Linked DNA regions of Elephas maximus indicus. The protein of the gene in region 1 purifies or fractionates together with the protein of each later gene. This does not show direct contact. Links are inferred from orthologs where the notes say so. Each region holds a gene or a part of one and is shown in the gene's direction. Other genes may lie near its edges. The genes, in order: AP2M1, ITSN1, BMP2K and AAK1.

Region 1 (6,997 bases):
CCATGGGGCCCCCAGGGGCCCCCACAGGCCGCGATCTGGCCTCTGTGCCCCCCGAACTGACCGCCAGCAGACAGTCGTTCCGCATGGCCATGGGAAACCCCAGTGAGTTCTTTGTGGATGTGATGTGAGCAGGGCCCCTCTCCACTTCCACCCCCATCCCGGCCGCCTGTGCCCCTCTCACCCACCGTCCGTCGTTTTTTACTTTGTCTGGTACCTGAAAGGGAAATAAATGGAAGGAAATGACGGCGCGCTAACTGTTCAAGGGACGCACTGAGGGTGGGGTGCACCCACCGATCGGCTTGGTACCCACTAACCTGCCTCTGGCCCCAGCTTGAGCTCTTGGCCCACTGACCGCTGAGCAGGATTTCCGCGATCCTTCGTGCCCTGGGCTGCTGTCTCCAAGTCCCCCAGACTTGCCGGTGCCACCCTTAATCTGGCCCTCACACATACACACTTAGGAACTAACCCTAGCAGCCCTTGGAGGCCTCTCAGCCCCTCGTCCTCTCCCGTCCCCCTCAGTTCCATTTCCCCATTCATTCAGCCCTGTCATCCCTCTGTTGACCTAACCCCTCCAGCACTGTGCAACCTCGACTTTGTCCAGCAGCATCGCTTCCCCTCCCCCCGGACATTCACTGAGCCTGCCCGCCTTAACTGTCCATTGCCTGTGCCTCAGTCCTGCACCCTGGAGCCGGAGCCACTTCCAGTAACCATCCATGCCATCCCTGCCTATGCCCAGCCCTGACCAGAGGCCCAGAGGGCCCCTGAGCTGCCTGCGTGGCACCCACCCGCCCTGTCCCTGCTGTGTCTGGCCTGCGTGCTGGTTCCTTCAGACCCCTAACCCTACTAACTGGCAGGCCTGTCTCACCTCTGGGCCTGAAACATTTCTTTTCTTTCTTTTTCCTCCCCCAATTTTTCCTGGGTCTGGAGCAGCCAAGAATTTCGGGCTGTTTGACTTTCTGTGAGCCCCCTGCAAAGGGAGGCCCAGCCTCCGAGGAGACCAGGAGCCCTGCTTGAAGAGCCCCTCAGGGCTCCCCAAGGATATCCAGCCCCCACACCTATACTTCACTATTGAGTTATTAGGCTTCCTGTGGAGGGCCCCAGCCTCTCACACACAGTCACTCGTGAGAGACTATGCTTGCCTCTCCAGAGATAGTGTTCTCTCTCTCTCTCACACACACACGCACACACACACAACGCACACGCACACACACACACATGTGCCTATGCAAGTTCACTCAGCCTCAGGGCTGGTCCCTGCCCAGAGGGCTGGATCCCTCTCTCCCAGTCCTCTCTCAGGTTGTGGGGCTGGTCCCCTGACTTCCTGCTCCCCTTCCTTGTACTCCTCAAGCCTTCCACAGTTGTCCTCATCATCTTCCTACCTGGATAAAACCCATAAGCTGGTTCTCAGGCTGGGCTCAGCAGAGGCACAGACCATTCTCACACATACCCCTCCCTGTTTTCACATTTGCGGTGACACCCCAGAGCCAGGACACAGGAGCTCACAGGCCAGTTGAGGTTGGGCAGGGGGACTTCTGGGACTTCCAGACAGAGTGCCAGGTTTTTTTTTTTTTTTTTTTTTTTACCTTATTCTTCACTTTAACCAAGTCATGACTGCTATAAATTCTCCTGGCTCACCTAGGCTCACTAAGGCACCCATATTTTCAGGGCTGAGGTATCAAGAGTAAGATGAAGTCCTTGGTTCCAGGCTTTGGGATGAACCAAATGCCAGGCATTTTGGCATTCATTCACTCAGCAAATACTTCCTGGGGCTTTGGTAAGCAGAGTGCTGTGCTGGAAGTGTGACTCAGTCTTGCTCACCCTCTGGGAGCTCTGGGTTCACTCTCAACTCAGTCCATGGCTTCCTGTTGATGCCACTGCGGGGCTGTCTCCTGCACTTCTCTGCCCTCTCTGACTGCCTGTCCAACTCTTGAGAATTCCTCTGCTGTTGCTCATGCCTTCAGTGTCAGTGCCCCCTGCTGTTCTATCTTTGGTCCACTTCTTTTTCCTTTCTATAAGACTCCCCAAATGGCCTCATCCATCATTATGTCTTCAGCTGCCACTGATATGCTGGTGATTCCCAGGTATATATCCCCATCCCCAACTTCTCCCCTCATCTTTAGGTCCATATTTTTATTACCCAATGGACATCTCCACAGACATATCCATGTGGACTCAACATGTCATCTTTCCCGCCAAGTGTGTTCCTCCTGAATTCCAATCCTGGTTACTTTCATCACAATCTACACAGGTTCACAAACTAGAAACGTTTCTGGGTTTTAATTCCTTCCTCCCATGTCTTACCAGTCAGCATATCATATCCATTCCATTCCAACAATCGTTCCTGAATTTGGCCCTTCCGCTCCCGTCTGCCTTTACTTATTTAGTTTGTTGGACCACGGAATTTGGAATCAGGTTGTTCTGGGTTTGAATTCCAGCTCTACTACTTTTTGGTTGTGTGATCTTAGGAGGGCTGTTTAACCTCCCTGAGCCTCAGTTCCCTTGTATGTAAAATGACAATAATAATACCTACCTCACAGGGTTGTTGTGAGGATTTAAATTAGATATTGTACGAAAAGTGCCTGGCACAGTACCTGGCACACAGTAGAGTAGGTGCTCAATAAATGGTGGCTATTATAATTACTGCTATTACTATTATTATTATTTAGTAAAAAATGATAGAAGTTTTGGATACGTGTGAGGAGCCCTGGTTGTGCACCGGTTAAAGCACTTGGCTGCTAACCGAAAGGTGGTTTGAACCCATTAGCCACTCGGAGGAAGATGTGGCAGTCTGCTTCCGTAAAGATTTACAGCCTTAGAAACCCTATGGGGACAGTTCTATTTTGTCCTGTAGAGTTGCTTTCAGTTGGAATCGATGGCAGTGGGTAGGATATGTGTGGAAGATAAAGCTTTTGGAGAGGTAGGAGTGAAGCCTCGAGTACTAGTTCACCTGTACTCAGTCACTTAATGGCTTCAGGTTAGGACCACGGTTTGAGGAGGCCAGACCTTCCTTCTATCACATTCTGTCTTCTGGCAGGAGGAAGCTAAGGACAGTGGGATTTGCAACCGGGTTTGCTCTTTCTTGCCCTTCCTCCCAGGACTGGTGCAGTCCTGCCCAGGGAAGGCAGCAGGGTGTCTCTGCCTAAGATGAGGAAAAGCCAATAGGTTTCCTTCAAGGTCCTGCAAGAGCCAAGCAGGCCTTTCATGTTGGGGGTTGGCTCTGTCTCCTCTCAGCCTAGATGTGAAGCTTAACTATTCATTAGACAAGGGGTTCCAATCCCATGTCTAATTAAAATCAACTCGCCAGACATTTTCTAAGCAAGATATGCAGCCCGTCGCTCGGAGACACACAGCTCTCGGCCTTGAGGAGCGCACGGTCACGTAGCTGAGGTAGAACACACGAACGCTCACGAAAAGCCGTAGCTAATTTCTTGCACATAATTGTCACCTCCCTTCCTACACCCCTGCTTGAGTCTTGATCCCTGGGAAAAGGCTCATGGCTCGAATAAATACATAACGAAAAAAGTTCGTGAGAATCAGAGGTGATGTTAGAAAGCAGTCAAACTCAACACAAACACTTGTACCAAGTTGTGTGTTTATGTGTAAAATAAGGACAGCCAGTCCTCAGACCTTGGAAACATAAAAGACCTACAGCAACCCAAACCTTAACAGATGGTCTTCAACAAAAACGTCACTAATCTCTGAGCCTCTCCAAAACGCTTAAATAGGCACAGGAGGGATTGCAGAAACTACACTTCCCAGAATGCTCAGTGGAGAAAATCAGGTGAGGGGGAGCGGCGTATGCCGGGATGTGTATTCAAAGAGTGGCGTGGAAGATGGGGGCGGTTTCCCGAAGGCTGTCGGTAATTGTAGTTTTGACAAGTCTGAACCGCTTACAATGGTAAGGGAGAAGCCGAGAGGCCTGACGGGATTTGTAGTCTCCGCGGGGCGGAGCTGACGCGCAAGCGCAGCTGAGGCCAGGGCGGGGCCGCGGCACTGCGGTGAAAGCCGAGGCAGCGGGCAGGCGAGCAGGGGGCGGGCGGACATCTTGGGATCCGGGGAGTGGAAGGACCGGGTGCCGCCGACACCAGGTGAGCTCGGGATCTGACCTTACCGGCGGGAGGAGGGCGCCGCGGGCCGTCTGCGCCGTCGCCCGGCTTTGCTCTTCCCCGGCCCGCACTCCGCGGAAAGCTGCCCACACCCGGGAGTGGCCTCAGCCTGCAGGCCCGGGGCGCGGCTGCAGGACGGGCGGGAGCGGTGGCCTCCACCTGACCCGCCTGGCGCCTGCCGGGACAGAGACCGAGCAGAAGCCGGGTAGAGCAGGACACCGCGCGGCGCGCCCCATCCCAGGATCGTGATCACCCCCTGCCCCTCGGTACCTTCTCTCAGCGCAAGGACAATTTCCCGGCTCCTAGGACAGTGACACCCCCTGTGCTGCCTCCTTGGACTGTGACAAGTCTCCCACCCCGCCGCACTCCCTTCTACCTGTTCAGCGACATCCCCAGCTCCTCGTCCTCAGACCTGTGACAGCCCCCGCACCCCGTGGCACCATCTTTTCCGCCGTGGCCCCCTCCCTAGGGCGAAAACACCACCACCCCCTCCATATCTCTGCACCTAAGCCCCAAAGCAAGCTCCAGCTCCCCGCATTGCCATTCACCACTGTCAGTCTCTCCCTGCCGGCCACCCTTCCCACCCCCAAGGCCTTGACCTTTTCCAGTCTCCAAAGTCTTTCTTCCCTGTGCCCCCACCAGCCCTGTTTGCTGCTGTGGGCTGCTGGAGTAGCCTGCCTGGGCTGTTGCTGCCAGCCTTTGCCCCTGACTAAATCTCCCGTTCCTGTCCCAGGCTCCACCTCTGTTTCTTTGTCGCCCGGAGCTACTTACCACTTCATACCCGTGAACTCTACTTCCATTTTGTGTTTCTCTCCCAGCCTCTTTGGGACTGAGGGATGGGATGTGGCCGCCACCCTGAGAAAGCCCTCACTGGTCCAGGAGACCTCCACAGCCGCAGTAAAAGGCTTCATTATGCAGTTTAGAAAAGCCTGCTAAAGTCTCCGCTGTGAAATTAATACCAGGGCTAATCCAGGCAACCTAGAGCCAAATTAACCCTTTTCATCTCTCAGTCCAAATTCATTTGACCCAAATAACTTGGATAATTCAGGCATTTCTGATAGGCCTGCGCCTTGGTTATGGGCACTCAGGCCAGACGTGAGCTAGTTGGTGGGTCTGGAATCACTGAATTTCAGCTGGAAGGATCTCTTCATTTTATCACCCTACCCCGCGCCCCCCCGCCCCGCCCTTATTTTTATTGCAGTCTAGAACTGAGAGGGAGCCTACCTTATTGAAAGTAGTTAGAAATAACTGTAACGAGCAGCTTGTGTCATTGAAGCAAAGTCTGCCAGGTCGGGGGCCTTTCTGGCCTCCTATTTGCCTGCTTATCTGACTGCCTGGGAGAGGCTGGAGCCACACTCCTGGCCCCAAACCAGGGCCAAAGGCCTCCCTTCCTTCCTCCTCTTTCCCCCACCCTGCACACCCTTTCTTGGAACGTTAAGGCTTCTGTGAATTAGAGATCCACGGTTCAGGCCCTGCCAGTGTCTCAGAGGGGTAGTGGAGCCTGAGCCCCAGGCCTGAGCCATCTGGACTAATTCCTGCTGCCATTCCAGCAGCTGCAGGCAGCCGGCCTTGCAGTGACTCACAGGCTGGAGCCTGAGTGATTCTGCACAAGAGGGGGCCGGAAAGGATCCTAGCTGGGCTCAGTGCTGGCAGGAGGGGAGGGGGCTACTCTGGGCCCAGCCCCAGAAGAGGGAGGGTCCAAATTGCCTTAGAATCCTGGGCCGTTCCAGTGTGGGATAAACAGGAACTGGAGGAGGCTGGCTGAGGGGAGGGGCATGCCTGGAAGGGCTGCAGGGTCACTTGCTGATGGGGTTGAGTTGGGGGAAAAAAACCCTTTGCAGGGCTGTGGGCAGGGGTTCTGAGGCCTTCCTGTACCCTGCCTCCCCCTGTCCTAGGTCTGTTCTAAGCAATGGGCTGCGGAGACTGAGCTGCCACCATGATTGGGGGGCTGTTCATCTATAATCACAAGGGGGAGGTGCTCATCTCCCGGGTCTACAGAGATGACATCGGGTGAGTGAGTCCCCTGGCTGAGCCAGCTGTGCCCCTGCCACCTGAGCCCCCCTCCCCAGCATGTGGGACCAGGTCTCTTCCCTCCGGAGGGTTGACTTGGGCCACCGCCTACCCTCACTGCATCCTGGAAGCTCAGCTAGTACAGCCTGGTTCCCCTTGGGTCTGGTGATGGTGGTGGGCCTGGCAGCTAGCTTGCAGGCCGCTGGGTGAGATTTGTAGGGTGGTGTGGCCTCCACAGGCTTCAGGGCTTCTGCCCTGCCTGCCTCCCTGTTTCCCTTAGTGACAGACCTGATTGCTGGAGGCAGTTGCTTTTGCCAAGCAGGTTGGTTCTTCCTTTGAGGAGAGGGATCGGTCTCCAATGGGTGGGGTCAGTGGCCAGGCTGGAGGTACTAATCTGTTCTAAGTTTTGTTCTTAGAAGCCCTTCTCATGTTGGGAGCCTTCCCTGGGCTCTCTTGGAAGCCTCTCCAGGCTGCAGAATCCTCTTCCACCTCCCTTTCTCAAGATAAATCAGGCTGCTGACTCACCTGATTTCAGTTCCTCTGGGCCATTTCTGGAAGAGAGCTTGTGGCAAGCCTGAGGCACTCACTCTAAGGTCTTTGCTGGAAGGAAGGATGGGAAGGCCATGCTGCCCTTTCTGGCTTGTCAGAGCAGACCCAGAACAGCTCCTTGTCCTGGGTCCCTCAGGTCTTAACAGGGATCTACAGCCTTACTCTCCATCTGTTCCACCATGTCCACCACTTTTCTTCCCTGACTGAGGGGACATATTCTCACCTCGGCAGCTCTAATGAGATTAGGCTCCACTTGTTCTTGCTACCCCAGTTGGACCTGTTGCAGTGCTCCATGGCTCCCTGGCTGATGGGCTGGCCTGGCCACGGTGGCT
Region 2 (7,271 bases), on another chromosome or scaffold:
ACGATTGAGGAATTTTTGTTACTTTCTACCACACTCCTCTCCCTCCTTTCCATTCGACTTAACCACGGCAGTCTTCTCCACCTACTGGAGTCCCTGGGTGGTGCAAATGGTTAACCTGCTCAGCTGCTAACTGAAAGGCTGACGGTCTGAGTCCACCCAGAGGCACCTAGTAAGAAAGGCCTGGTGATCTACTTCCAAAATCAGCTATTAAAAACCCTATGGAGCAGTTCTACTCTGACACACATGGGGTTACCATGATTCAAAAGTGATTCAATGGCAATTGATTTTTTCTCTACCTACTATTATTGCGGAAACCCTGGTGGCATAGTGGTTAAGAGCTATGCTTGCTAACCAAAAGGTTAGCAGTTCGAATCTACCAGGCGCTCCTTGGGAACTCTATGGGGCAGTTCTACTCTGTCCTATGGCGTCACTATGAGTCAGAAATGAGTCGATGGCAACGGGTTTGGTTTTTTGGTTTACTATTATTGCAGTTTGTAAATGCTTATTTAATTTTCGAATTCACTATAGTATCTTGGAGACATTGCTGGTTCAGTGGTAGACTTCTTCCCTTTAATGGGGGAGACCTGCCTTGATTCTGGGCCAACGCACCTATTGTGGAGCTACCACCCATCTGTCAGCAGAGGCTTTCATGTTGTTATGATGCTGAACACGTTTCAGTGGAGCTCCTAGACTCAGATGGACTAGGAAAAAAGGTCTGGCAATTTAATTCCAAAAATCAGCCAAAGAAAGCCCTGTGGAGCACAGTTCTACTCTGACACTCATGGGGTGGCCGTGCAGCTAACAGCAACAGGCATCTTGAAGAATCCATTGTTTGCTTCAGTATAAAATATGAATTGTAATGTGATTAAATATTTACCAGTATGTTCAGAATCAAGAAAAGATAATTTTCATAAAATGTATCATATTTATAATGTACAAAAATGGAAGAAAATTATTTTGTAAAATACCATATCTTATCATGTGTGGATATGTGTATTCCTGCTCGTCTACTTAAAAACTCCCCTTAATTCTTTGGAGCTAAGAAAAGCATCGACAGCACTGGGTTTTTTTTAAGAAAAGCAAAGACAGCTTTTCTAATGTTGTCTTTGAAACATTCTATGTAAAGTTCACCGTTTAGGGGCAAGAAAACCTTCATGTTTATCAATTAGAAAAAAGAGAGTTCACCAAAAACAAAAAACACTGTGATTCCATAGTGAAGTATTTTAAGAATTTTCAAGTTCACCCACCTTCCTTCTTTGAGGAAGGACAAAAATGAATCAAGACTCATTACTGACCAGGGTACAGCCCTGGTCTAGAGGCCTAAGTGCTTCCTTGAGGTTCTCAACTCTTTTCTTCAATCCAGAATTTTCATTTTAAAATCACAGTACAGAGAGTTGTAAATCTATCAAACCACTTCAGTGAGAGGTAGCCTGATTTTGTGGGGAGCCCTCTCCATTTCAAATGTGAACATCTCATCCCCTCCCATAATCTGGAGCAGGAGCATCAGCAAAGTGAAGCTAGTAAGAATACTCTGCAGTGGTTGTAGACAGGATTTATATGTCACAACTGGCCTAAGTGAATCCTAGCCCCCTTACTTACTAGCTGTATGACTCTGGGCCACTTTTAACCTTTCTGGTCACCATGAATCAGAATTGACTGGACAACAATCTGTTTGGTTTTTTTTTGGGGGGGGCGAGGGAGCCTTAATTTGGTTCCTGGGTGGTGCAAATGGTTGTCAACTAACCCAAAGTTTGGCAATTTAAACCCACCCAGCAGCATTGTGGAAGGCATGAAAACCCAAAAGAGCAGTTCTACTCTGTAACACGTGGGGTTGCCATAAGTTGGGATGGACTTGATGGCAACAGGTTCGGTTTGGTTGAGTTTTTGGGCTTTAGTTTTCATACCTATAAAATAGGTATAATAGTAGTAATTACTTCACACAGTTGCTGTGAGGATTAAATAATACCTGTAAGAGCCCTGGTGGCGCAGTGGTTAAGAGTTCGGTTGCAAATCAAGAGGCTGGCAGTTCATATCCACCAGCGGCTCCTTGGAAACCCTTTGGGGCAGTTCTACTCTGTCCTATAGGGTAGCTGAGTTGGAATTAACTGGACAGCAATGGGCACCAAATTAGCATTCAATATATTTACTTATTTCTGTAAATTGGGAGAGAACCTCTAAGGTAGCTCTTCAGCTTGTGTCACAAAGAGACAAAAAGTCTGGTTATGAGCAACCTGACCTTTCAGTTTCTGCAGTGGCTTATTATATCATCTGGATCTACAGGGACGGTCCAACACAGCAGCCACTAGACACATGTGGCTACTGAGCACTTGCCTGGTCGGAATTAAGATGTGCTTTAAGTGCAAAAGACTGAATTTCGAAGATTTAGGAAAAAAAAAAAAAAACTTCAGCTTTTATATTGATTACTTATTGATATGTTTTGGCTATACTGTGTTAAATGAAATATAAAAAAACCAAAACCAAACCCAGTGCCGTCGAGTTGATTCCGACTCGTAGGGACCCTATAAGACAGAGTAGAACTGCCCCACAGAGTTTCCAAGAAGCGCGTGGAGGATTCGAACTGCCGACCTTTTGGTTAGCAGCTGTAGCACTTAACCACTACACCACCCAGGGTTTCCAAATGAAATATACTACTATATTAATTTCACGTTTTTCTTCCCACTTTTTAAAAATGTGGACACCAGAAATTTAAAGTTACCTAAGTGGTTCGCATTGTATTTGCATTGGATAGAATTGATGAGGCACCTTGGTACCCATAACAGGACTGGCAGCTCCTAGGAGGAGGTTCTCAGGCCTGTCCCCAGACAATAGGTCTCTGCACTTTGACAAAATCCCCAGGTGATTCTTCCGCATTGCTCCGGGGTATTCGGCTGTTTGGCTGGATGAAGAGAGCAAATCTGGCCCTAAAGCCACCTTCCTTTCGGTAATTGATTATAGAAGGGGTACAGGGGAAAGAAGAGTTAGGGAGAAAAAGCAAGGGAGATACATGCAACCTGGGAGATAGACGAAACCTGGGAGATAAGTAGAAGGGGAGAGAGATGCAAACGGAGATAAAACCTACAATTAAAAACCCATACAGGGCCAGTAAGGACCCCAGTGGCGCAGTGGTTAAAGCGCTCGCTGCTAACTGAAAGGTTGGCGGTGCGACCCCACCAGCCGGGCGGGAGAAAGACGTGGTGGTCTGCTTCCGTAAAGATTACAGCCTTGGAAACCCCTATGGCGCAGTTCTGCTCTGTCCTGCAGGGTCGCTAGGAGTTGGAATGCACTCGACCGCCATGGGTTCGGTTTCCTGGTATTTTAACGCGCCAGGAAACTGTCCGCCAAGTTTTATCCGCTCCTGTGCGGCCTCGGCTAAGCTAGGCCTGGACGTGAGCACGTCTGAGGTGGGGATGCGACGCGAACCACCACCCGCCCAGAGCTGGCGGTTCCGCTCGGTGTCCTTCCACCTTTCCCCCAAAGCCCTGACACCCAAGACACACATCGCCTTTCCCGAGGCTCACCTGTCTCCGGGCGGCCCCAAAGCCCTGCAGCTTAGCCACCGCCACCTTCAAGCCCTTCCGCAGAGAGCCCGCCCCTTCGCTCCACGCTGCTGCTCCTATTGGTCTGTTAACTCGTCACTCCTGCAGGGCTGGGCACGACCTCCGGAGGTTGCGCAGAACGCCATAGCAACCGGATTCGGAACTACATCTCCCGGCATGCCCGCGCGGGGGCGGAGCCAGGCCCCTCACTAGGGGCTACCAATAAACGGGGGAGGTTTTATGCAAATTTATGTTTAAAGACCACACCCTTCCTCAGTCCCACCGTATTCCTGACCACTTTCCGTAACTAAGTTAGTTGAACGCACCCTATCTAGTATCTGGAAAGGCAATGACAGATGCACTGAAATCGTGGATCTAAACTCCATAAGCCCCGACACAGAAATCACAGACCAGAAACCTCCGGTTACGACTTCGCGGAGGAGGTGGGGGTGGGGAGGCAAGAGACCTACGCCCGCCCCATTCGCGCATGTTGATTGGCTTATTCGGCTGTCACTCCGTCCTCCTCCACCCTTTCGGCTCCTCCTCCTTCGGGCCCGCGGTGGGCGGAGCTAGCGATAGGGGGCGGTGCGGAGGGTTAGGCCCGTTCTTCTGATTGGCAGGCTGTTTGTCCCCGCCCGCTTATGGGCGGGGACGGAGGGTGGGTGGGGCGGGAGAGGCAGCCGAGGGATGTGAGGAGATAGGCGGGAGAAAGGAGCGAGGGAGCGAGGGAGGGAGCGAAGGAGGTAGAGAGCAGCGGCGGGCCAGGGGAGGGAGCGCAGCTTGGTTGCTCCGTAGTACGGCGGCTCGCGAGGGAGAATCCCGAGCGGGCTCCGGGATCGACGGAGAGGCGGGCGGGGATGGTGAGCGGTGCTGCGGCTGGTCAGCGCCTGCCCGCGGCGTGTGCGCTGCACTGATTGCCCGGCGCGGCCGCGCGGATCCGCCTGGAGATGAGGTGAGGAGCAGGCGGGCGGAGGGCGGCGGCCTGGGCGGGGGTCGCGGGGTCGGCGCCATGGCCGCCCGGGGCGCCCTCCCGCGGGCCGGCGCGCGTCCCTGGGGCCGCCCTGCAGCGCCGCCGCGCGCCTCGCCCTTCCATCCTCCCGGGCGGCGGCCGGGCCGGCGTGGGCTTGCGGGGCGCCTCCAGCGCGAGGCCCCCTCGGCGGCCGGCGGTCCTTCCAGGGCTGACCCGGGCGCCCTCGGCCGCCGGAGCGCGGGGGCCGGCCCAGCCTCGCCCCTCGCCGGCGCCGCCTCCCCGCGCCCACGGCGCGTCTCCCGTTGGCGGCGCCGGCTGCCTGCATGATCCGCCGGTGAAGGGCGCTCAATGCCGCGCGGCCGAGCCCGACTGCCGGGCCGCCCAGGGGCGCCGCATCGAGCGCGGCCCCTCCGCAGCCCCGGCCGCCGCGCCTCCCCGCGCAGCCCTCGCTCCGGGTGGGCGCCAGGCCGGGAGGAGACGCCGCGCAGCCCCGGGAAGGGGGCCGCGGGGAGAGGCTGCATCTCGGCTGCCGTTTGCCCGGGGCGCGAAGACGGTTCGCAGGTGACGTTTCTTGCGGGCGTCTTCTGTGTTGGCATTCGGACCGAGGAAGCGTCTGCTTTTGGAGAACAGATGAGTGGCTTCTCCTTGGGGTTGGAGGCAATGGAGGTTTTTGATAGCCTCTTAAATATGAGAAGTTTCCTTTAGAAGTTTGCCATCGTCGGTGCTGCACCGATCCGAAATTTTAAATACATGCAGGCTTTTCTGGCCAGATGCGTTTCTTTGTGCGATTATCTATTGGCATCCTCCCCTAAAGGATTTTCGTGGACGAAACATGCAAATAATAAAAATCGAGGGCAGCAAAAAGCACAGATCCTAAAAACAAGTACAATAACAAGCAAATGTCATCTGGAAAATTTTCAGTTCTGTTAGCAGGGAGGCAGTTTTACTAGTGCCGTGGCACCTCTGAAGAAACATGCCGAGAGATCTGGTTACGGATTTCCTAGTGGACGGGGTCTGAGGGCAGGTCAGCCGGTTTGCGTGGTGCGCTCTTAACCCCTAAAATGTGCTGCATGCGTCTGCCTGGGTATCTTTATTTTTAGATGATTTTAAGGTTGAGAGTGCAGAAGCTTAAACAGCTCAAAGTTATCTGAGAACAAGATACTGTGTAAGAAGAGACACTTTTTGTGATTTTTAGTTTTTTTTTTTTTTGGCTGGTCTTGAAATGCGTTGTTTTTGATGAGTGTTTGCTTATCACTAAGACATCTTTAAAAAAAAATTAAAGTTCTTTCAGCGTTAAAATTATTTCAGCCACCTTTAAGTGATTCCAGTAAGGGGCATTTCTGACAGTAGGTTAAAAAAAATTGGTATTTGTCTAAAGAATGTATCTCTTGAAATTGCCGAGGCACGTGGTACCTTCGCAAAACTATTATTATTCTGCCTGAGTAAGAGAGGAAATGAACACATTTTTAATGTACTTTGGAACCCCGTGGATTGTTCAGATAGATACTCGGCATTGTGAAATAGGGCATAAAATGACTGGTAGCAAGCTAGTTCCTTGAAAAGTTTTTCACTCTTAGCATATTTATTCTCTGTTGGCTGGCAATTTCTTTCTTAATGCTTATCTCTAATATTGGTATAGAACTCTGCATGTGTTCACCATTTCCCCAAATGCCTGGGTAGAGACAAACTCTCAAAACTCGTGTAGGAAATTAAGAAGAAAGTGATGGTAAATTCCTCTAGTCTTAGCCATCTTTTTAATTTGTTAAATTTGTGAATTATAGAGAATGAATTATACGAGGGTTGGGTTTACCTTACTCAGCTCAAATCCCCCTGCGTAGCACTGTCTTGAGCCTTTTGCATGTGATCATTCCCTTCTGAAGGGCTCCATCACTGGCTGGTTGGGTTTCTCAAATTCTGGACCTCAGATCACAGACATCAACAATGACTGAGGGTTATTGTTTCTGTCAGCTCATCTCAGAGTTAGATTGCCTGGGCGTGGGACTCCAGCATTGGTATTTTCAACAAGTTCTCTAGGGCTCTTTCCTGTGTGGTAAAGTTGGAGAACAACTGGTATTGTGCTTCCTTGTCACTGAGTGTCTCCTGGATTGTATGCAGTTCTTTATGACGACATCTTTAAGTGGATAGCAAGATTTTCAAATGCTAGGATGTTTTACCATAGGCTGCTCATGAAAGCCTATTGATCGTGACCTTCACCTGTGTAATATACCTGTCCTCCAAGTTTCAGAAGGGCTGAGACTTTGGCTTACCACTGTGTCCTCAGGGCCTAGAATAGTGCCTGGAGGAAAGAGATCAAATATTTGTTGAGTAAACGAGTGACCTGCATTGCATTGAGACCAAATTTGAAAATCTTGTGAAATTAACCTTGTCACTTAGTTTCGTTGTTGTTAGGTGCCATCAAGTCAGTTCCGACTCATAGCGACCCTGTGCACAACAGAACGAAACACTGCCCAGTTCTGAGCCATCCCCACAATCGTTGTTACGCTTGAGCTCCTTGTTGCAGCCACTTGTGTCAATCCACCTCTTTGAGGGTCTTCCTCTTTTCCGCTGACCCTGTACTCTGCCAAGTGTGATGTCCTTCTCCAGGAGCTGATCCCTCCTGACAACATGTCCAAAGTATGTAAGACGCAGTCTCGCCATCCTTGCTTCTAAGGAGTATTCTGGTTGTACTTTTTCTAAGACAGATTTGTTCGTACTTTTGGCAGTCCATGGTATATTCAATATTCTTTGTCAACACCACAATTCAA
Region 3 (7,435 bases), on another chromosome or scaffold:
GAATGGGACTGTGCTCTTACTCTAGGACAATACTTCTTTAAGCAGGGATTTATCCTTGCCATGAGGTGTGAAGCCATGGAGCTGTTCCAGGTGGCAGATGCTCCTCCATTCACCAAAGCATGTTTCTTGGTAGCAAAGTTGCCTACCCCTTGAAGTCTTTTTTAAAAGCATGGTCAAGGTGTAGGAAAAAGTCTACCATAGAAAAGTATTTCAAGTCAAATGAGACATTTTTTCTATTAAGAATATTCGTGAGCAGCTTAGCATTTTTTATACTATCAGACTGAATATTCATAGAACTATATAAATTTTTACAAGGTATAGTGATGATGTTCAGTAGTTTTAACAGAGGATTTAAGTATCAGAGATGCTAAAAAAATCATTCGTTCTCATCATGAAGACATGTATATATCCTTTTAAAAGACTTTAGAACTTTTATTTTTTTGGAAAGCAAACATATGGACATTTAATTAGTTATAATGCCAGGGAGGGAGAATTACTCCTGTTAGGCTAACCATGATAGAGGACATGTCATCAAAGGAAATTGCTGACTAGTAAGGAAAAATAATCAAGATCTAAAGAAATGACTTATAAAGGTAATCGTGGCACTGGAATAAGCCTTTTGGGATAAGTGTATTTTGCTTGATCTGTAATGCAAAATAGATGGGTCAAAGTAACAAGAAGAGTTATAGTTTTCCACTAGAAGACAAAAATATAACATTAGTTTTTTCTCCATTGTCAAAATCCTTCCTGCTTAAGGGATCTCAGAATCCTTTAGTTAGTTACAATCATCTCTTGGCTTTGACAGAAGTGTAACATGAAACCTTGCAAAGTGAAGCAATCTTTTTTTTTTTTAAGTATTATGTTGTTAGTTCCCAACTATTTTTAGAGCAGTATATAAACATTTGGTTCAGATATTAATAAGAAATTGAAATGTGATTTTATCTGTACTAAACTTTCCTATACCTGTGTTTTTACAATAAACAATAAACCCATTGCCGTTGAGTCGATTCTGGCTAATAGCCACCCTATTGGACAGCGTAGTACTTCCCCATAGGGTTTTCAAGGAGCAGCTGGTAGATCCGAACTGCCGATCTTTTTGCTGGCAGATGTAGCTCACCGTAGCTCTTAACCACTGTGCCACCATAAGTCACTCAAAAAGATGTCAAATTGGATGTTCTTCCATAGCCATGGTCAAATAATGAGTGCAACACTAAAAGACTTTGTTTACCAGTTCCAACTCATAGTAAGTCTATGCGACAGAGTACCACTGCCCCATAGGGCTTCTTAGGTTGTAATCTTCACAGGAGATCACCAGGTCTTTTCTCCCATGGAGCCACTGGTGGGTTCAAACCACTGACCTTTCAGTTAGCAGGCAGGCAAATGCCTACCCATTGCACCACTAGGGCTCCTTACTTAAAGACTAGAATTCTCAATACAGTTTTTCTACTCATTGAAAGCCTGCCCTTAGTATCTCAATTTCCGTTTACAAATTGGGTTAAGGATACTCGTTTTTAACTTGCAAGCTTGTTAAGAGGATACAAAAAAATAAACAAACCCATTGTTGTTGTAACAGCTAAGATTTTCTTAGCTATAATCTTTGCAGAAGCAGATCACCAGGCCTTTCTTCTGTGGTGCTGCTGGGTAGGTTCCAACTACCAACCTTTAGGTGAGTAGCCCAGCACAAAACTGTGTGCACCACTCAGGACCTCTTGTTAGGAGGATATAATGTGAAAATATCAATGTCCTTTGGTATTAAAGTTGTTTGTAAATGGTAATACATTCTTAGTATTGGTAATACAAGTTTTGGCATTCTTATTAGTAATATGTTATTGGCTGTCATAGAAAATTGTGGAGTTAACATTCTGCGACGATCAGAGGATATTCAGATTTTATTACATGCATGGTAAAAAATTAAAGAACACATTTCTTGGTGTTACTCATAGTTTTTGAGACAAGGTCTATGCCTTAAACTAATTATAAACTTCAATATCAGAAGTTAGGTTACATTGACTCATAGAAGTAATTTTTTTGGCCATAGCAATTGTGATAAATTTACTCCTAAACTGATCACATACGACTTCATTTATTCCTGTGTTATGCTTAGGTAAAGTTGAATTAGGCCCAAACTTTGTATGTTAGATTGATTGCAGTTTCAAATTCCATGAAACGATCAGATTTCTCCACTTTAATACCTGAAAAACGTAATTCAAATGTTGAAGGTATGAGACATCACAGTGAATCCCCATAGTAAGGAAAATGGTCAGTTTATTTCTAAACGGAAATCCCCAACTGTCACACCACATCAGTCATCCAACATATAATCAGACTTCCATAGGGCTGGAGTATATACTTTAAAGGTCAGGTAGCTGGATGAGGAAACTTAGCTTGGTGATTATGCAGCAGAAATGCCAAACCCCAGTACTGTTTCAGTGTTGGGAGAAAAACTTCAAACTGCAGAGAAGAGTGAAGGACTTTAAGCTCAAAGTCTCTTTGGCCTAAGCACATTTTCTAATGTTTCTGTCTGTATCCTATTAAAAATTTGGAGAAAGAATTGAGGGGAGGGAGAACAGAACGACATTCATCTACTTTCACAGAAGGTATGTACTGGAGTTCTGTAGGCATGATTTATTTGGCCAACATGTTCAAAAATTGGGGAAATGCCACACTAAAAAAAGAAAAAAAAAAATTCAGGTTTCTGATTTAAGAAATTGGAACCTCTGGCCACGGTGGGCAGGTAATCATAAACGGATAAGTAGGTTGGAGTTGAGGAATGTCTGGTCTCTACACATGCTCTACAATTTGCTAGTCCTTACTTTTTTTTTTTTACTACTCCTGGTCAGGACCAGATGACTCAACAAGCAACGTATGCAGGGGCCCAACGGTGCCTTCCCACCAATCTACAGTGCACAATTTCACCTGTTCCCCACCACAGATCTGGTGAAACCCATGTAAAATTGCTCACCCCAGATTAGCAAGTACTGCAATTAAGCCCGTTTGGACCTTGCTCAATGCAAGTGAGTGCATACCGTGTTTACTCTTTAACCCGCCAATGTTCTTCCTATTCATATTGCCTGTTTTACTTCTCCCCATCCCCCTCCCCGCATTGAGACTGCAGAATTTATGCAGTTTAGGAAATTGTAATGAGCAAATCTCTGTTAAACGGGGGACAACTTCAATGGCTGTTTTTGCTTCCAAACAGTCCTAAATCTGCCCGTTTTCCAAGCCTCTCAACGATCCGACCCTAACCTACTTTTTCAGTATGACCAAAAGCAAAGAATTAAGAACCAAAGGACGGACGTTGTAGTCTCAGCTCTACCATAAGAGCCAGCTGTGTGACCTTGGGCGAGTCGTTAAGCTCTCTTAGCCAAAGGTGATGGTTTGTAAAACGAACTTAATACCTGCTCTGAATACTTCACACAGTAGTTGCAGAACACACATGAGATTTTAAGTACTCCTAAAATAATCCACCAGGTTTTTTTTTTTTTTAAAGTAATCTGAAATCGCAAAACTCTTGTCAGTACAAGCTTCTGCTACACACTGCGATGACACCGTGGCTTTAGAAGTCGGGTTACTGGAATCCGCTTTAGTTTCGTGCTGCTCCCACCTCCCACGCTCAGGGTGGGCGAGCGGGGGAAGAGCCTCAGGGGACAAAGTCTAGAAAACTGGCTAGAAGTGAAGCGAGAAAAGTTCCTTGGAGGAGATTAAGTTGTTGGCGGCATTTTTAAGCCCCAGAGTGACATACAGATTCCCATCCGAGATGACAGACCCCGAAGCGTGGCCAGCGCTGCAGCCGGCCCCACGGGGCTGACCCGAACCTTCTTGGCTGGGACCTGGACCCCGCACCCCGCACCTCGCCCTTGTCCCCAACCCCCACAGTCACCTCCCCCGCTCCCTTCCACGTGACAACAGCCGGAACCGTCACTTCCGGCGGCGCGGGCAGTGCGCCTGCGCGGGGGCCCGGCCTCGGTGAGCGGTTGGCACCAGCGCCGCGCCGCCAACGGCCGCGAGTGGCGGGCGGCGCGGGTCGAGTTCGGGCGGCGGCGGCGCGGCGGGCTACGACCCTGAGGGCCTGCGGCCGAGAGGTCCAGCCCATTCCCTGGAGGGGCCGCCCGCCCCGCCCCCTTCTCCGTGCCCCTCCCTCCTGCCCTCCTCCCGGCCTCTCGCTCCCGGCGCCTCGCTCCCGGCGCTTAGGGGACAGCGAGGGCACCCGGGGCACTTGCCGAGGCGGTGTCGCCCCCGCGTTCGGACCCGCCCCCTCGCGCCCCGCCCCGTCCCCGCCCTCCGCCGCCCTCTGCGGGAGCCCGGCAGCTGCAGCGGAGCCGCGGAGCGGACAGCGGGGCCGGGGCTGTGCGCTCGGGGCGCGCGGAATGTGAGGCTCGGCGGGCCGCACCGCGCACGAACGCTCAGAACGGCGAGGAGCGGCGACCCCTCGCGGACGTTGGGCCGCGCGCCGGGTCGGGGACTTGCCCTCTTGCTCGCCCTTGAGCGCGCCCCGCGCCCTACTGCGCACCGGCGGGACCATGAAGAAGTTCTCTCGGATGCCCAAGTCCGAGGGCTGCGGCGGCGGCGCCGGAGCGGCGGGTGCCGCGGCCGGCGGGGTCGGGGTCGGCTCCAGCTCTGGCGGCTCGTCCGTGGGGGTCCGTGTGTTCGCAGTCGGGCGCTACCAGGTCACCCTGGAGGAGTCACTGGCCGAAGGTACGGGCACCCGGGGAGGCTCGGGCAGGCAGGTGAGGGAGGGCTGGGGTGTGGTGGTGGTTTCATCTGGTCCTGGTTCTCGTCTCTCTTCGTCCCATGGGTTCACTCTTTCTCCCCTTTCTGCCTCCTCTGCTGGGCTAGCGGAGTCTCTTAAGACGCTCGGGCTTTCGTTCTTAAGCCAGCTTTTCTCGCCGCTGGTAGCTCTGATCAGTTCACAGTTCTCTCATTACGAGTTTAAATCATTTTCTGTCCTCGACGCGAGGAAAATAAATAGAAAACGTCCTACAAGTGCTGTGGTGTCATGATTGGACCAGTGACTCATTAGTGGGTCAGACTGAGCAGGATTGAGGCTCTGTTCTGCCAGCTGTGGCTCAGGCGAGTGTCATGCGTTGGCTTTTTCATCCCACTCTCCACCCGCACCTCAGGGCATAGGACCCTGAAGCCCCTGGTGTGGAGTCTGGGTTTGCTTCTGCTCAGTCATCAGCTGAAAAGCAGCGTTTGTTTGTGTGTGTGTGTGTGTGTGTGTGTGTGTGTGTGTGTGTGTGTATTGTGGAGGCGATATTTTGCCCCAAATCCAATTAGTGATTTGCTTTTGGGGAACAGGTAAATTTGAAGATTATTAATCCTTTTTATTCAGAATCTTCTCTATGAGACAAGGTACTGTTTGTGCCTTCTCAAATATGTCTCTTTGGTAGTAAAAAGGTGACTTGAAAGGAGGTTAGCTTTCACTTGCCAAGTTGAAGTTTTGTAGTCAGTCTTTCATTATCTGTGACAGCAGGCACAAGTCTGCTTACAAAAAAGTTTATTTAAAAGAAAAGATTTACACTTTAGTTTTGTATTTTTTGTATAATTGGCTTGTAGAAAATACAGTTAACTGCATGCTACATTGACCTTTGAGTTTTTTTTATTGCAAAATGACAATACAAATAAGTACTTTTAAAACATCCTGAGAAATAATTTCTGTTCTTAAGTGGTCCTTCTAAGTCCCAAGGTTAAGAGGAAAGCAATTGAAGACAGTAGTTTTGGTTCTCTGGGGTTTACACGTTTATGTGGTTTGAAAATGCTATATTGAGATTTCCACTTGTATTTTATGAAATGTCATAAAATAGGAAATTAGTAAAAGAGAAAAACCTGAAGATTTTTGTCTATATTCTCAAGAGAAAGAAATCTTGGATTATTCAGGGATGGATGCCATTGTTTTGCAAGCTGTTGCCTGGAACAGGTAAGAGTGTTGGAGAGGTGGGAGAAGGAGGATCCTTAGTTTCTCCAAAAGAGTGAATATATGGTGATTGTTGTCGATGTTTAGATTTACTGTGCTCTGTATTTCATTCATGAATTTTAGGTGATGGTTTAGATTAGGTTGTAGATTTTAAGAAGATATTGCTACTAATGAAAATGCTGTACTTCTGTCTTTGGATTGTTTTAGTAATCATTGAAGTGTAGCTTTGAGTAGTGTTACTCATTTCACTAAATCCGAGGTGTATCTTTTATTTAATAGGAAACATCGACATTACATCAAACTGACTTTGAATTTGTAGCTTGTATAACTGACCCGAACATATCCTAGCACTACTCTAAGCAAGTCATTTTCAATAAGAAAGAAAGCAAGTCATTTTCAGTTAGAAAGGAGTAATTTTAGAAAAGGAAAACAAAACTGAAGTATTTTAAATGGAGAGTCCTCACTAAATCACAAAAAATACCTTTTCGAACACTAACATCACCGTTAGTGTTCCATTGACTTTTGCCATAAATTTGTAATTTCTTTTAGAAAAAAAAATCAGTAATCAAATGCTAACTATAGATGATGACAGGAAATAAAACATGTTTTTGAGAAACAATAGATAGAAGAACAAGAGGACAGAATTAAGACGAGAGGAAGCAAAGGTTGAAGAAAACCTTTTGGAAGAACTCCACACTCCCCAACCCAGTTCCTAGGACTAGGCTTTCAGCCTTCTCTGGAGGGGAACTGACAACTAGGCTTTCTTCCCTTGAACCATTCTTCTCTGTCTAGCACACACAATTGAAATTATCCGTATTCAGTTTACTTTTTGATCCTGACAGGTTTCTTCTGATTTGAGATGCTTAATATCCTCTTTCCCTCTCAAGTAAATAATGCCACAATTTAGAACAAGATGCTTAAGCGCAAGTCTGGTTCACATTCAAGCATGATCACTCAATAACTGACAGATACATCTGCCTGATTATAAGACTCGGGCAAGTGCTTGTGAAATGGGATTAGACTTTAAAGTATCTGTACTGGGGAGAGGGATACCAGTGAGTGGGAAAAAGGGTGGCAGCTAAGACAGACCAAGAAACAAACTTGGTAGATTTTACATTTTTTGCTTTGGGTCAGTGTTGTTTAAACAGGTCTAGAACGGTAGAAGCTGTGTGCTTTTTTTTACTGCAAACATAGGCAGCTTGCTGAGTGTCTTGATAAACCAGTCCGTCTCTGTCCCACCACTATATACCAAACCAAACCTGTTGCCCTCGAGTTGATTCAGACTCATAGCAACCGACAGGACAGAGTAGAACTGCCCCATAGGGTTTCCAAGGAACGGCTGGTGGATTCGAACTGTCAGCCTTTTGGTTAGCAGCCAAGCTCTTAACCAGCGTGCAGCCAGGCCTCCTACCTCTCTCTATATGCATGTGTGTATGCGCTTGCGCACACACACATACTTATTTGTGTATGTATACATATATAATGTTTTTTAAATAAAAATTGCAGGAGTACACTTCTGTT
Region 4 (7,457 bases), on another chromosome or scaffold:
ATCCTATTTATGGAAACATAGAGTTAGAAAAACAAAATCAAAGCAGTACACGTAAGAATGTTCATTCCAATCATATGTATAACAGTACAAATTTTTAATAAAATGATAAAATATTCAACAGTAAAGAATTGGTTGATTACTAAGCAGCCATTAAAAATAGTATTTTTAGAGAATATGTAATGAAATGGAAAACTATTAAATGAAAAAGTTATAAAATATTATGTAACAAGTTTACAATGTGATCCAATATGCCCAAAAAATTTTGCGTTTATATATATATTTTTTTTATAGAGAGAAAATGCTAAAAGGAAACTGATCAAAATGTCAATAGCAGATATCTCTCAGCAATAGAATTACAGTTGATTGTTATTTTCATCTTTATTATTTCTTCAATAAGCTACAATGAGTTTTCTTCAATTACTTTTCTAATCAGAAAACACAAAACCAAGAAATGCTCTTTTTTTTTTTTTTAAGAAGGGAAATGGCTGTTATAATTTCCTCTGGGCAAAACATCGTTTCTGAAACTTGGACGTGTATCAGAACCCCTTAGATAGCTTGCGAAAACAGATTAATGCCTCAGCCCCTCCCTCCTATTCAGTAGGTCTGGGTGGGGCCTGAGAAATTTGCATTTCTAACCAGTTCCTTTGGGTTAAAAGATGGGAACATAGAATGGCACCATGGTGCAGTGAAAATGATGAGGGTTGGTAGCCTATCAGTTTGATTGTGGCTCTGCCCTTTGCAGGCTGTGTCTAGGCATAGTTAACATACTTCCTCTTAGCCTGTTTCCACACTAATGCATACCTCACAGGTGTGTTGTAAAGGTTAAAGATATTATATAAACATCCAATACAATGCCTACCTTAATTAATTAAGGTCCTTGGTCAATGTTGGTCCCTTTCCCTTTGAGTTCCCTTAAAGATGCAGCACACATTTGCTATAATTGGGTTTACTGTGACATGATTTAGCTGCCCCACAGGTCAAATCATTTCCACCAAACCTACCAAACCATGCATGTCCTTCTGTTACTAAGAAAATCTTCACTTAGTCATTGATAAAATTGGGATAATATTATAATAGGATCTACTTTCATATAATGATAATGGTATCTACCCTGCAGAGATGCCACGAGGATTAAACAAGAAGATATGCTAACTGCTTAATACAGTAACTGGCATATGGAAGATCATAGTAAATGTCAGCTTCCTTTTGCTTTCTCTTTAAATGAGTACTTCTCTATACTATCTCCTAGGTCTAATTAAAAAGCTCATCTAGTAGTCAATGCCAACTCATGGTGACTCCGTGCATGTAAGAGTTGAACTTGCTCCATGGAGTTTTCAATGGCTGGTTTTTTGGAAGTAGATCAACAGACCTTTCTTCCAAGGTGCCTCTGGGTGGACTCCAAACTCCATCCTTTTGGTTAGCAGCCGAGCATGTTAATGTTTCACACCACCCAGGGATTCCTCATCTAGTCTAAATCAAAAAACAGGAAAGAAAGAAACCAAACTATTGCCATCGGGTTGATTCCAACTCATAGCAATTCTATAAATCAATCTTTCTACCTCAATCAGATTGCTCTCTTAGGGGTCATATTTAATTTGGAGTCATTTATTTGGTTTATTTAAGTACTGAGAAGGACGCAGTAGATATAAACTACTGTACTGGATGTTCAAAGAGATAAGCAGAAGACTGTTCCCTGCCTTTGAAGTACCTGGTTGAGGTGACAATATACATGAAAAGTTGAATAGGAATGCAAAGTAGGATGGAATGAATTATACAGAAAGTAAGTATGGCAAGAGTTTTGAGGTCATAGTGGGCTGTCCTGTGGTTATTTTGCCCTCAGAAGCCACAGAATTACTGAGAGTTGAAAGAGAGCTCTGTTTTTATGGCTGAGAAAATAGGCCCAGAGATCTAAGTGGTAGAGGGTCACAACTACTAGCGGAGGTTTACTGTCTCCTAGATGGAAACCCTGGTGACATAGTGGTTAAGTGCTAGGGCTGCTAAATAAAAGGTTGGCAATTTGAATCCACCAGATGCTCCTTGGAAACCTGTGGGGCGATTCTGCTCTGTCCTATAGGGTCGCTCTAAGTCAGAATTGACTTGACAGCAATGGTGAGTCTCATGATGCTTGTAGACATATTTCTAATTATTACCAAATCTGTTCATCATTTTATGTTTGCTTTCTCTAAGGCAGTTTAGTGCAGCCAGTTAAGCACTGGGCTCTGTAACCAAAATATTTGGGTTTTGAATCCTGCCTTTGCCACTTACTATCTATGTGACTTTGGGCAAGTCATTTATCTCTGTGCCTCAGTTTCCCCATCTATGAAAAAACCTGCTGCCATTGAGTCGATTCCGTCTATAGAATGGGTATTATAATAATAGTATCTTACTTCGTAGGGCTGTACTGAGAATTCACTAACTTAATATATGCAGAGCACTTAAAAACTGTGGGTTTGCCATTAAAATTGCTATTAGTTGCTGAGAGAATGGAAGGCAAGGAGTCTAACAACAACAAAAAACTCATTGCCGTGGAGCTGATTCTGACTCAAAGTGGCCCTGTAGGACAGAGTAGAATTGCCCCTTAGGGTTTCCAAGGAGCAGCTGGTGGATTCAAACTGCCGACCTTTGGGTAGGCAGCCGAGCTCTTTAACCACTTTGCCACTGTCTTCTAATTTTTTTTTTTCTTTTTTCCCCATCTCCCTTAGATTATCATCAAGGCACTCAGGTTCAGTAAATACATTTAGCTATCTCAACCAATCCCAGTGAAGAAAACAAATTTTTGTATCTCAGTAGTGAGAATTTGGGATTTGTGTAAACCTAGCCTAATCTGGAACAGTCAAGTCTAGAAAAGTGAAAACTGAGATAGCAACAGGTTCGAGGACCCAAGACAGTTTCTTTCTCTCTCTTTCAGTCAATTAAGATCAACATGTGCTGAGAAAAACAGGCGGCAATGAATCAAATTCCAAATGAGCTTTCCCATGTGTTTTAATCTAGTCCAACTTCCTTATAAACAACGCCTCACCTTTTAAGAAAGTGCATGCCTCAGTGGGTTTGCCTTGACGGGACGTTTTAGTGGGTTCTGCATTTCACTCTGTAGCTGGCCTCATGGGTTTGTGAACATGGGCGACAACATTGATTCCCTCGGGAAGAAAAGAAGCAGTCTCTACACCGGAAGTGTAATTGTAGTGGCACAATTTGAAACTTAAAAAGGAGAAGAAGTCGCCGCCACGGCCCCGCTATTCGAGCCACAGTTCAGCTCAAAATTACAGAAAGCAAGAACCATTTCCTTCTCGCTGGACACTCCTCTCAACTCTCCTGAAATGACTGCTGAAAAAAATTCTGAGGCGAATTAAAAGCCAGAAGGTTGTCGCAGAATTAGGGAACGGGAAGAGCGAGCAGGTGGAGGTGAAAAATACCCTATATTCAGGCGTTAGAAAAAGCTTTTTTTTGGGGGGGGGCAGGGATTTGTCACTGTCTCTGGCGTCATTTATCAGGAGATCTAGCGATGGAGAAGAGTACCAACAGGCCTTCCAAATCTTCTGCGTTTGGCAGAAGCAAATCACATTGTCCACCCCCATCCTCTGCACTCAGGCGATATCAGGGTAAAATAAGCATCAAGAGGAATCTTGACGTGAGAAAGAATTAAAAGGTCAGCCTGGAGTTCTTGTGTGGGAGGGTTATCAGTGAAAGTCAGGACCACCCAGAACGTCAGCAAAGGTAGAAGAATTAAGGGTCACCGTTGGCACGCGAGCCCCAAAGTTTGGGGCGGAGCCGACGGGCTGGGTCTCCCTAGGGTCTGCCTTGCACACAACCTTTAGCAGATTCACAGTGGGAGTCTCGCCAGTAAGGTCCCGGACGAGACACTGTCTTACGAGCGTTCTGACAGCGTCTCGCTCAGAGCCGACCCACGAGCGGGTTCTCAGTAACATCTGGGAGGGGCAAAAACAGCTTTGGAGATGGGGGGCGGAGAGGCGCCGGTTTTATTGATTTTAACGTTCGCATTCCCGTGTGGCCTGAGGACCGACTGTCAGCAAAATTTTCCCGGTCGCCCTCTCTCTTCCACCTTCTGCCCAAGTGAAGTCGAAAAGCCCCGCAGGACGTGCAAGGGGGTAAGCGGTTAAAGCAGCCGCGTCCTTCAGATGTCAGCCTCGATCCTTTGGGAAACCACAATCCCCAGAATCCCTTGTGCCAAGAGGTCAAGCCGCAAATAAGATGGCTCCAGAAGGGTGGAAAAAGCAGCAGGAGAGAAACTCTAGTACCAGGCAGTGGGTTTACCGGATGGGTTTAAATAACCGAATCCCCACAAATGCACCACCCAACTAACCACCTTCGGCGCCGCGGAGGCCACGGCTGCCTTCTCCTCCCAGCTCCTCCAGAGGCATCCTGGGAGTTGTAGTCCCGCAGCTGGGCTGCGCCGAACTACCTTTCCCAGGGTGCCCTGCAAGTCGGGAGATAGCAATGTTGTTTTCCAAAACTGTCCGCACCGAGATCGCCTTTCCCCTGTCTCCTTCTTCCCTCAGGCCACCGCTTCTCGTCTGTCGCGATAGAGCAGCGGTGGCTAGGGGACGCCCTGGCGCCCCCGTCGTGCCGGGCCGGGAGGCACTTCCGGCACGACTCACTTCCTGGCTGGCTGGATGGAGCCGGGCGGGAGCGCGCGCGGGGGAGGGGCGGAGGGTTAGTCTCCTCCGGGCGCTCCCGGGATCAGCTGGCGGGCGGGCGGGCGCCGAACTCGGCCCGGGCTCTGGCTGCAGCGCCGCCTCCTCTCCGCGTCGCAGGTCGGCCCGGCGGCCGTGACAATGTTGCGGGGCTGGTAGCTGGGCGCCGGCCGCCGAGCCGTCTCAAGTGGGTGCCTCCGGGATGCTGCCGCGCGGGGCGGCGGGGAGGACCGGGAGGAGGGGGAAGCAGTGCCCGGCTGGCTTGGTGCTGCTGCCCACGGCGGCCCGAACGCCCCCTTTCTTCCAGCCCCGGGGACGCATTTTCAACCCTAGAGGTTTTTCTCGCCAAGAAAATGCATGAAGCGTTCCCCCAGGTTGATGGCTTTTGCCTCGCCAGGACTGAGCAGTTGAATTTTTAAGTGTGTTATTGATTCATCCTCTTTCTTCCTCTGTCATCACAGGTTTAAACTTACACGAATCGCTCTCCCGAGGAGGAGGGGACCCGCCGCGCGATTGACACGCATATTCCTATAGGCATCCTTCCTCAGCCCCCACCCCCACGGCCGGATTCGGGTGGCTCCTCTCGGAGCTGAAATCTGAGAAGAAATCCTTGGGTTTCTTGTTATCTTAAAAAAAAAAAAAATCTAGAAACCATCCGTGTTTTGCTTTGCTGCTTTCTTTTTGCAAGATGAAGAAGTTTTTCGACTCCCGGCGTGAGCAGGGCGGCTCTGGCCTGGGCTCCGGCTCCAGCGGAGGAGGGGGCAGCACTTCGGGCCTGGGCAGTGGCTACATCGGAAGGGTCTTTGGCATCGGGCGACAGCAGGTCACTGTGGACGAGGTGTTGGCGGAAGGTACGGTTGGGACTCTTTCAGTGCTTGGTAAATTAAAATCGTGTGCCGATGCGGCAGGACTCTGGTTGTCTGGATGTTGATTGTATGAATGGGTTTTGACCACTTGACCTCCCCTCCCCCTTCCCTTGCCCTGTGGTTCATTGTCCTTGAGAGATTTAAAACTGAGATTTGAAAGTGACAGGGCTTATGGGGATGGAGGAAGGTTGCCAGAAATGGTTTACCTCAGTGACCTTTTATTAAAACAAAACAAAACCAGAAAACAATGTTGAGAAGCCACCCCTGTCTGCCTCACCGAGTTATGAGGATCAGAGGAGAAAACGTATGTGTGAGAGTACAACGCTTCACATCAAATGCAGGGGAGTGGGCTTGTCATCCTCCTAAAACTTGAAATATTGATGTGAAGACTGAAGGGTGGGGATGGGGAACCTTCAAGAAGAGAGAGGAATTTGTTTCTCCTCCTAACCAACTTTCCTACTTCCATGAGCAGGCAGTGGAAGAAAGAGGATTTTCAGAGAATGGGAATGTGACTTGCCAAGAGCCGAGGCTCTTGGTGGATTTGTCTAGGTTTGTTTCCTGACTCAACTGTAATTAGGTCCCGAGAATGTAGCTAAGATAGCAAAAATCCTGTGAAATGAATGTGGTTATTCTCAATTCTGTCTAGTAGGGCCCTCTTCCTCCTATTTCATTTATTTATTTTTAACCAAAAGAAGAATTACTTAAAGCTAAAACTGGGTGGCTCTGGTTTTGTTTTTCCTTGGTTGGAGAGGATGTTATTTAGATCTGCTGTGTAAATTCCCTAGGTGTGTATGGCTATAAATATATAGATCTATATCTTTATCCCCCAGGCTTTAGGGAAATCTTCATATGTCTCTTTTGATAACCTTAACCTCGACCTTCATAATTATGCCAGACTCATACTTTTCTCAGCCCATTGCCTGCTTAGTGTGCTTTTATTTTTAATAAAAGCAGCAATTTCCTTGGCATAAAGCTATTCAAACTACCTGCTGTAGGTTGTTGTAGACTGAGAAGGGATGGGGGAAGGGGTGGCCTTTATTACTGCAATATGGATGAGAAACAGTTGATTAGCAGGGGAGGAGGGGAGAAAGCTTAGGAACCTTTTGCAAGCTAAGGTTGAAGCCAGCGTCCCGACCTGGGCCTGGGAAGTGCCTGTCATGGTGAGTGTTGCAGGCAGATAGATTGGGAGGAGGAAGAAGCTCTTTGGCTCTTAGCGTGTGTAAGCACTGGATTCAGCAGGGCCGGGTTCTCTGGGGGTAGGGGCGAAACCTGTACTTTAAAAACACTGTTTTAAAAAAGATATCTGACAACCGTGATTTTGTGAAATTGCTGCTCTTTTCCATTCTCAGTACTGCTGTAGCTGGACTTAATCCGGGGCCTGAGTCACTGTGTCTCTGGATCCTTCCTGTGGGCTTTGGTGCAGGATGGGAGATGCTTCTGTGCCTGCTGCCAGATCTGCACCCTTGAGTCTGATGTGTGTCTTTTTATCCCTGTGCCAAAGCCCTTGACTGCAGTGGGATGGAGAAATGGAGGAATGTGTATGTGCAGGAGAAATCGGGAAGCATGAGAGGGTGCAGCACCCTTTCCTCCTTCCTGAATGGTCTCTGCCGACCTCAGTCCAGGAGCATTTTGTTCTTCTAGGATGTTGTCTCATTATAGATGGTGCTTCCCTAAACAATGCCAGTTCTCAGTGATGGGGAAAAGAACAGGCAAAATTGGTCTTTGTTATCTAGGCTACCCTCCTCTTCCCCACGATTCATCTTTGAGAATTGCTACATCACACATTATGATATTTTTATGTGGAAGCTAGGGCCTATAAGCTCTGCATTCATTCATTTATTTATTCATTCAACAAATAGTTACAGAGTGCCTGTGATGTGCCAGGCACTGTGCTAGGCTTTGGGGATATGTTATTAAACTAGATACTGGAGTCTACAAA

What was found.
Region 2: the proteins of AP2M1 (region 1) and ITSN1 purify together in Homo sapiens (affinity purification with mass spectrometry; 3 studies listed by BioGRID and IntAct, counting the BioPlex papers as one, with this or other methods). This does not show direct contact. The link is inferred for Elephas maximus indicus from reciprocal best matches to the Homo sapiens genes AP2M1 and ITSN1.
Region 3: the proteins of AP2M1 (region 1) and BMP2K purify together in Homo sapiens (affinity purification with mass spectrometry; 3 studies listed by BioGRID and IntAct, counting the BioPlex papers as one, with this or other methods). This does not show direct contact. The link is inferred for Elephas maximus indicus from reciprocal best matches to the Homo sapiens genes AP2M1 and BMP2K.
Region 4: the proteins of AP2M1 (region 1) and AAK1 purify together in Homo sapiens (affinity purification with mass spectrometry; 5 studies listed by BioGRID and IntAct, counting the BioPlex papers as one, with this or other methods). This does not show direct contact. The link is inferred for Elephas maximus indicus from reciprocal best matches to the Homo sapiens genes AP2M1 and AAK1.

Annotation. Positions count from the first base shown.
Region 1 is NC_064819.1:30,892,512-30,899,508, reverse strand, and holds the start of AP2M1 (AP-2 complex subunit mu), read left to right. Parts: upstream 1-3,982; 5' UTR 3,983-4,088; intron 4,089-6,001; 5' UTR 6,002-6,042; coding exon 6,043-6,116; intron 6,117-6,997. Other genes in the region: DVL3 (segment polarity protein dishevelled homolog DVL-3), read left to right, coding at 1-128.
Region 2 is NC_064836.1:27,968,549-27,975,819, reverse strand, and holds the start of ITSN1 (intersectin-1), read left to right. Parts: upstream 1-4,253; 5' UTR 4,254-4,488; intron 4,489-7,271. UniProt on the Homo sapiens protein: Adapter protein that provides a link between the endocytic membrane traffic and the actin assembly machinery. Acts as a guanine nucleotide exchange factor (GEF) for CDC42, and thereby stimulates actin nucleation mediated by WASL and the ARP2/3 complex.
Region 3 is NC_064823.1:78,278,820-78,286,254, reverse strand, and holds the start of BMP2K (BMP-2-inducible protein kinase), read left to right. Parts: upstream 1-4,427; 5' UTR 4,428-4,520; coding exon 4,521-4,695; intron 4,696-7,435. UniProt on the Homo sapiens protein: May be involved in osteoblast differentiation.
Region 4 is NC_064835.1:66,581,777-66,589,233, forward strand, and holds the start of AAK1 (AP2-associated protein kinase 1), read left to right. Parts: upstream 1-4,448; 5' UTR 4,449-4,772; exon of another isoform or gene 4,773-4,839; intron 4,840-5,113; 5' UTR 5,114-5,340; coding exon 5,341-5,503; intron 5,504-7,457.